Linked DNA regions of Arabidopsis thaliana. The protein of the gene in region 2 interacts with the protein of the main gene of each other region in a pairwise test. Each region holds a gene or a part of one and is shown on either strand. Other genes may lie near its edges. The genes, in order: CSP3 and AT3G49910.

Region 1 (4,108 bases), on a different chromosome or scaffold from region 2:
AGTGAATATTCCGGTGATTTCGTTTTGGTTGCAGAGCGTGCGTCCCCATATGCGGCCGGACCAAGCGGCGGGTATGGAGATGAGTCGTGACTCAAAGGAGTTGAGGGAGAAACCAGTGGTGGGTAATGGAGCGGTGCCGGCGCCGGAGAGAAGTCCCGGCCAGACGGTGTAGTTACACTGGTTAACGATGGTGAACGTGGTGGAGGAACCACCATTGATGAAAAACATAATCGCTAAGAGAAAGCAAGAGACTTTAGCCAAATCCATTGTTACCGTTTGATGTTGTATGATTCAGGAGAAGTTAGGGATCGTGTTTATATAAGAGAATCGGGGATTTGTGTTATGGAAAGTTTCATAATATCAATTTTCCCTATATGAGTTTTGCCATTACAGAATCCGATACATGTTCACTCATCATTTCCTTTATTTCAATATTCTCATTAATACTTGTGAAATGGAAATTACGAATCAAGCTAGTATACTTGTTATCCTTTTCGAAAATTATACATTTTTTTTTTATAACTATTTGTTGAGGATCTCTTCCTAAATTCAAAACTAGAAATTTAGATAAAGGTTAGAGGAGGAAAAAGCTCTCTTTTGTTTGTTAAGGAAAAAGTTATTTAGTTTAAAGACTTTGATAGGAAAGAGACATGTATGGTGTTGTGTAGTAAGTTAATTGTACTGGAATTGGTGGGATTTTGTATTAACGGAAATAAAGGAGGTGTTGGACATTAGAAGCTTGTCTTTGTATATGTTAAGAAAGATCAAGTCACTTCCAATAACAGAACACGTGGGATCCAAATGTTTATATCCGAAAGATTCAGCTAATCACAAGTGTAATTAGGTTAAAAAAAACTAACGGGATTAACTTCATCATCTTCTTAAAACATCACGGTAAGTAGAGAAAAAGAAACCACGAACTGACGAACAGGCATAGGCACTACAAGATCACGCACACCATGTCTCTCCTCTGTTCAGGAGATTCTCCTAAAACAAGATCTAAGTAATCTAAAATATCAAAAGATTATTCTTAAGCTAATATCTCTGTTTCATCAAGAACAAGAAAAACAGCAATGCAGAGTATAAGTAAACCAGTTACAGGAAAATCTTTAAGCTCTCCAACAAAGAGGAACCAAGAAAGACTTGTGACTCATCTCTTTGTATTTACAAGTTAGTAAAAAAAAGTCTCAAATCTTGGTATATAACAGAAGTGACCATAACAGATTGAATTTTCAAGTCATACAATCACACTCATTGCAAGGAAAGACAAGAAACTGTAAATAAGCAAGCACACATATCATTCAAGATCTCAAACTTATGGCATCAACAAAAGCAGTGAACAGGTTGCATAAACCAGTCAAAAGAGTAATATAGAGAGATCAAAAACTCCCAAAACAACCATTCTTAAACATCCTAAACGACTTTAGCAATCACATTATAGTCACCAAAAAGGAGCATTAGGTAGATTTTAATAGAAAACAAAAGAGGTTTATGAACATTACTCTTCTTCTTTGCATCTTTTTGTTAAGCAACCGAAGTACATTCCCTCGCAAAGTGACCTTCCTTGCCGCAGATGAAGCACTTGTTACTGCCACCGCCACCTCCGCTGCTTCCACTTCCTCTCCGATCACAGTCACGAGCCAAATGGCCAGTTCCTCCACATTCGTAACAAGCACGACCACCACCACCACCACCAGAAGGTATCTTGCTGGTGCAAACTTTCGCAATGTGGCCAACTCCGCCACAGGTATAACAAGTGCTTCCACCACCTCCAACGTTTCCACCGCCGTTTTGCCTACAATCCCTAGCGAAATGTCCCACACCACCACACATGTAGCATCCATCACCGCCAGATCCACGACCACCACCTCCTCCGTATCTGTTTCCACCAGAACCACCACGACAATCCTTTGCCAAATGACCAACCTCACCGCAACTGTAACACGGACGACCACCTCCTCCTCCTCCGCCGCTGTTTCCACCACCGCTTTGCCTACAATCCCTAGCGAAGTGTCCCACATCACCACACATGTAACATTCACCTTCGCCGCCAGATCTACGACCACCACCACCTCCAAAGCTTTTCCCACCACTTCCACCGTCACAATCCTTAGCCATATGACCAACCTCACCGCAATTAAAACAATTACCTCCGGATCCACGGGAGCTGTTTTCCTTCTTATTAAGTGAACCGCCGCCGGGAGCAGTAACTTCAATGGCCTTAGTCTTTCCGTCGCTTCCAAGCGCGATTTCGTATTCAACCGATTCACCAAGAGTCAAGCTACGGAATCCATCGGAGACAATTGAGGATTGATGAACAAAAAGCTCTTCGCCGCCATCATCGGGAGTAATGAAACCGTAGCCTTTTCCATCGCTAAACCAACTAACTTTTCCGATAGATCTCGCCGCCGATTGATCTTCCATCGCCATTAGATCAGAGAAAAAGGTTAACAAAAACTCGAAGCACTTTGTTCGTACAAAGAGAGGAAATGGGTAAAATGAAAACCCTAAATTGCTACTTGCTAGATCTATTAACCCCAAATTGACCTTAAATTCGCCACGTCAGCTCCTTCTCTATCGGCGGCAGTTACCACGTGTGCATTTTGGATCAGGCCCATGGTTCACATAATGAAATGGGCCTATTTATGTAAGAGTTTCAAAAGAACTAAGCAAAATTGATAAGGTTTGATTTCACACTAACTTTAAAAAAAATGCTTGAGATGTTTTATCATCTCTTAACCATCCCCAAACTCTGGGAATTGGATGAAAATGCAGTCTATAATTATCACTTTTTGCAAAAAGAAAGGGATATTCATAGTAAATCTAAAGTAAATATGACATGATTTAGATTATTATGTTATACTTCTACTAGAAGAGAAAGTGTTTCACACTTTTGGTTGTTTTATCTAAACAATATATTATATTTTGATATTATATCTATTTTTATGCAACTTATTTTGCATCCAAATTTTCAATATCCCAGCTCACTTTTTTAATTCAATGAACCAATACATGGATGATATTATCCGAAGTTCAATTGTGAAGAAAAAAATGATTCGATCATATTTTCTTCTAGAAGCAAGAAAAAAAGAACATCCCAATTACTTAAACTAATTATTGGATATCTATCGTCTATTATATATATATATATATTATATATTTTGATAATGTATGGTGTCGAACATCAACAATCTTCTGCTTCCCATTGTTTATGGACAGCATAGCTTTTGTCATGACAATGCTATACTTAAGAAAATGACAAGAGTTCCTTTTTTTATTTATTTTTCTTTTAATGACAATAGTGAATTTATAATTACTTTTTTTTTGTTCACATTTAAAATAGTTATATATATGTGAAAAGAATATGAGTTTTTTTTTGTAAATATTATGAAAGATTCGTGAGATGCAAATGTTCCAGAACATGGCATGTTGAAACAAGAGTGACACATGGATTATGATGACGAGAAGAAAAGAACCTTGTCTGTCGTATTTGCTTAGCTATTTTGGTGGCCCTGGTGAAGGCAATTTAAATTGACTATAATTATTATCATCATAAACGTCATGTTAGTATAACTCTGAAATTCTGAGCAAGAAATTTGACCCAATGTTAACTCTTTGAAATACCGTTATTTATATAACTTTTACCCAAAAAAATTAGAATCATAAAATTAACCCATGCATGCATACCTAGTTGATTGCACAACGTTCAAACTAAAAATGTTTATAACGCCCATAGAAAAAACTCTCAGTAACCCTCCACATACACATATCACATACATCGGAATTCACGATATGCGATTGTAACGTCTCTAAAAATTACTCTTTTCACAGTCGCGTGACAGGAAAAAATTCACTGCCACCAAGGCAAACAACGTTATCGAACTTTCGATAGACTAAGACCATGAATGGTAACATAGACCACACCCAAAACCGCACCGCAACAGTATTAAAATCTTTACATATATATGTATTTATGTATTTTTGTTACTATTTGACATAGATCTTCTTTTCTTTTATTGTCGATGTCGGCTGATTGTGCGACTAGAAAAAAAACACTCCCAGCTTTTTAAATTAGGTGACTACAACATAATACAACTAAAATTTTCTA
Region 2 (3,972 bases):
TAAGCTGAACAGTAACGGTAAGTTTGGAGCTCTTCTGCAACACGAGGGCCTTCCAAAATCGATAGTGACAATCTCAGGTGAGATTGATACCAAGACATTAGACAAGTACCCAAGGTTAGGTCTCTCGCTTTCCCTTAAACCTTGAAGAGCTACACATACCAATGGAAGTTAGGTTTAACAATGGAGACTACCCTTTCTGTCTCCTATGACATTGTTTAGAGTTGAGTTGGTTATTGAATAATGAATCCCTCGGCTAATCTCCTTATTTCTGATAATTCTTTTTCGGATTTGTTTCTTTTGGGGCTCACGCTTAATAGGAACAGTTATATCGCTCTTTTCTGAGAGTTTTTTTTTATTGTTTTGTTAAGAGAAACAAACCTTATGTGAAACTAGAATCAATCAAAGACTCAAGTTGGAAAAGAATCAGAGATAGGTCTTCTACACATGTACATCAAATGTGAAAACTGTTCAGTCGGATAATTGCATTTGAGATATGTTTTTTTAGTTCTATCTTTTTTCTCGAGGAAACGACTATTTTTTAAGGTAATGAGAAAGAATCAGTTTCATAGAAATGAAATGATTTGCTGTTAATCAGAGTGGCAATTCTTTTAAATCCACAGTAATGCTTATGCCAAACAAAAAATTACAATTGAAAACCACCAAGTTCGAACTCAACCTATACCACAAACGTCTTAGACAACACAAAATTGCAGAGATAAGTGTGAAGAGACGAAAGGATTGGTCTGATAAATTGATATGTCGTTTAAAGACACAAACTCGTCATTCCAATATGTTCAAAAATGAAAACCACTGTCGAAAAATGGAACCCCCACTATCAAACGAAATAACCTAAACCAAGAACACTACTCTAGAGAATCATTTCAACTAAGTCACCACATAAATGACCAATATCATCAATTCTACTGCAATAGACTGATAAACGCAAGACTCCTATGTCAAATCAGGAGTTCAACACCAATCTCAACACACATCCAACACATAATCAAAAGCTAAACCAAACAAACACATCATTATAAAGAATGAGACAAAGAGATAAACTTCCATAACCAAACTTCAAATACTCAAAATCAAAACATAAGTTCTCATGTCTAGCACCATAAAGATCCACTGACAACATTCCAAAATATCCAAAACTTGAAAATTAAAAAGCGATTGAAGATAACTCTAAAAGATAAAACCTTTCAAGAAGATTTCTTCTTCCTTCTTACTTAATCAACGTTCTGCATAACATCCTCAGACGTAAACTTAGTACCCTTCTCCTTATCAGCAGCAGCACGTCCCTTAGCCTTCCTCTCCAAAAGCGATTTCCTATCTTTATCAAGACGAAGCTTCGTTATCACAACTTTCGACGGCTGAATCCCAACGTTCACGGTTGTTCCATTCACCTTCTCCCTCGTGATTCTCTCGATGTGAATCACCCATTTGCGACGGTAAACCTGAACAACTTTGCCTTCACGTCCCTTGTAAGTACCACGAACGATCTGAACCTCGTCGTCTTTACGGATCGGCATGGATCTGACATTGTACTTCTGACGAAGATCGGTGGAGAGAGGAGAGCTCATTATCACACGCCTCTCGCTGGAGGAAGCTGTGAAATGAGCCTTCCTGTTCTTTCTGCGAGAAGAGGTCACTCTTGGGTTGTACTTCATCTTCGCCGCCGGGATTGAGAGAGTCTCTACTCTTAGGGTTTTTTAAGGGGATGAGGAAGAGGTTATGAGTGTGTGTGAAGGTTATATAGTTAGGTTTTGAGTGGAGCTAGGTTTACTCGATATATTAGGGCTTTGTTATGAATGGGCTGGGCCTGTTTTAGATTTTGATTTTAAAGAGTTTTATAATGGGCCTCTTCTATGTTAGCTACACTTCTGGCCTAGTAAAAGTTAATTCATTCTTGGATGCAATCAGTTTAGCGAAAGAGGTAAAAACAAAACGACTACACTGATATAGTTGGTATTCTCATGTTGTAATAGGCTAGCTGTATCATGCAATTTAGAGAAGTTTTGTATCATGCAATTTAGAACTTTTATTTTTGAGAGAAACAAAAGCATAACGTTTGGATGATATATTAATTTAAATAGAGTTGTGTTTCAATTCATATATTCTGCCTTTTTAGATTCGATTTTCAAAAACACGATGCACTAGTTGTAAAAACGTTATTTTTATATATTTAATTTAACATTATATTCAAAAAATTAATATTAATTTAACAAAAAAATTATTTTTCAAGCAGCTGTTTACACTTTGTGGAGAGAAAGAAATGCAAGGCTTCACACTACTGTCTCCAAACCGGCTCGGTTACTTGTTAAGGAAATTCAAGCTTACAGGTCTATACCGTCACCTTTTCCAGTACAAAATTAGTCCATCTTCAACCTTTCCTAGTTCATCTACAACCTATCTTGCTTCATGGTTTCGCTCCTTTCATCGATAGCGAATCTTTTGCGTCATTGATCTTAATCTTTTGATATGTTTCGGTTTCTTGTCTTGTTTCATGATTTCTTTGAGCTTTTTCATTTTGCAGGTCAAATTGTAGTTTTCAAATGATACCTTGGATTTGAGACATCAGGAAAATAAATAAAATAATTAGAAAATTATTATTATTATTATATCAGTATGTTTTTATACAATATATTAGACATTCATAACTATAATGTGATATACATCCCGGAGAAAATCTCAGGTCGAAACTCTTACATTTTAGAACCCATTGCCAATGTTTGAACAAGGACTTCCAAAGACTCTTGGATATATATATTTTCAAGCAAAATAATGATGTTGTACATAATAATAATCAGAGGGGCTAACAAATTATGAAAGAAATAAGTATCATATGAAGTGGACTTTGTATTAAACTGGCCGATCAAAACTAATTTTCTTGTGGTGGTTGGTGCAAACAAATTGATATAAACAAATAAACAATCCATGTTTTTTACGACAACGACAAGTATGTCAATTAGTAAAGAAAAATAACCGATCAAACTTGCACTAGTACTATATATACACAACAATTTAAGCTCAATTTAAACCTAAATGAAATCTCGTGAAATTTGAATGTTAGAACGAATGTACATTTTGGAGAACATGTGGGACGTGGTCCCTCTATATGAACTAGAAGGTTTATGGTGAAGAAAAAGGAAAAACGCATTTAAAGACTTTCACGCATATAATAACGATCACAACAAATCCTCTTAAATTCATTTATTTCCCATATTACTCACATTTATTGCCCATTCACTGTCCAAAATTTCCTTCTCTTCTTGATACTAAAACCTAACCGGCGAATTCGAATCTTCTCAAAACTCACACAAATTATTCTCATTCTTTGATCTCTTCTCTCTCGGAAAAAAAGACATGAAGCGATGGACAAACTTAGGGTTTGTTGATACGATTTATGAAGACGAAGACTACGTAGATCATCACTCTTCTTCTTTATCTTCTTCTTCTTCATCTTTGTCTCTTTCTCCTAAACAACCTATCAATCTCTCTTCTTCTCCTTCAATGGAGCTTGAATCTCGAGTCCATAAATGGTAATGTTTCTCTTAGAAAATTTACCAAATCTTTACCACATTTTTTTTTTTGGTAGAAAAATCTTTACCAAATTATAATTTCTCTTTTTTTTGGGTGTTTTTTCTATATTTTTATTCAGGTCGTTGGCTAATAACTCTAAACCTGATGTATTCGTAAATGTGGGAGGCACAAGGTTCCATCTTCACAAGGTTACATATTTTCAAGCTTTTATTTGTCAATTTTCATAAAAAAAACAATTTTTTTTTAACAAAAACTATGATATTTTTATTTGATTTTTAATTGTATATTTGTTATAAATTTAAAAAATTACACATTTATTGCAAAATAAGCAAAAAGGTTTGATTTTTATTGGGAGGTTATGTTTTATGTCATTATGTGATGTTTTAATTATAATCCCATAGGATCCTCTGTCAAAGAGTGGCTATTTAA

The links.
Region 1: the proteins of AT3G49910 (region 2) and CSP3 interact in a two-hybrid assay, tested with the Arabidopsis thaliana proteins (one study listed by BioGRID).

The regions. Positions count from the first base shown.
Region 1 is NC_003071.7:7,762,752-7,766,859, forward strand, and holds CSP3 (cold shock domain protein 3), read right to left. Parts: upstream 2,526-4,108; 5' UTR 2,431-2,525; coding exon 1,525-2,430; 3' UTR 777-1,524; downstream 1-776. Other genes in the region: AT2G17860 (Pathogenesis-related thaumatin superfamily protein), read right to left, coding at 1-267.
Region 2 is NC_003074.8:18,502,009-18,505,980, reverse strand, and holds AT3G49910 (Translation protein SH3-like family protein), read right to left. Parts: upstream 1,818-3,972; 5' UTR 1,671-1,817; coding exon 1,230-1,670; 3' UTR 591-1,229; downstream 1-590. Other genes in the region: VDAC5 (voltage dependent anion channel 5), read left to right, coding at 1-145; AT3G49900 (Phototropic-responsive NPH3 family protein), read left to right, coding at 3,367-3,542, 3,662-3,731, 3,945-3,972.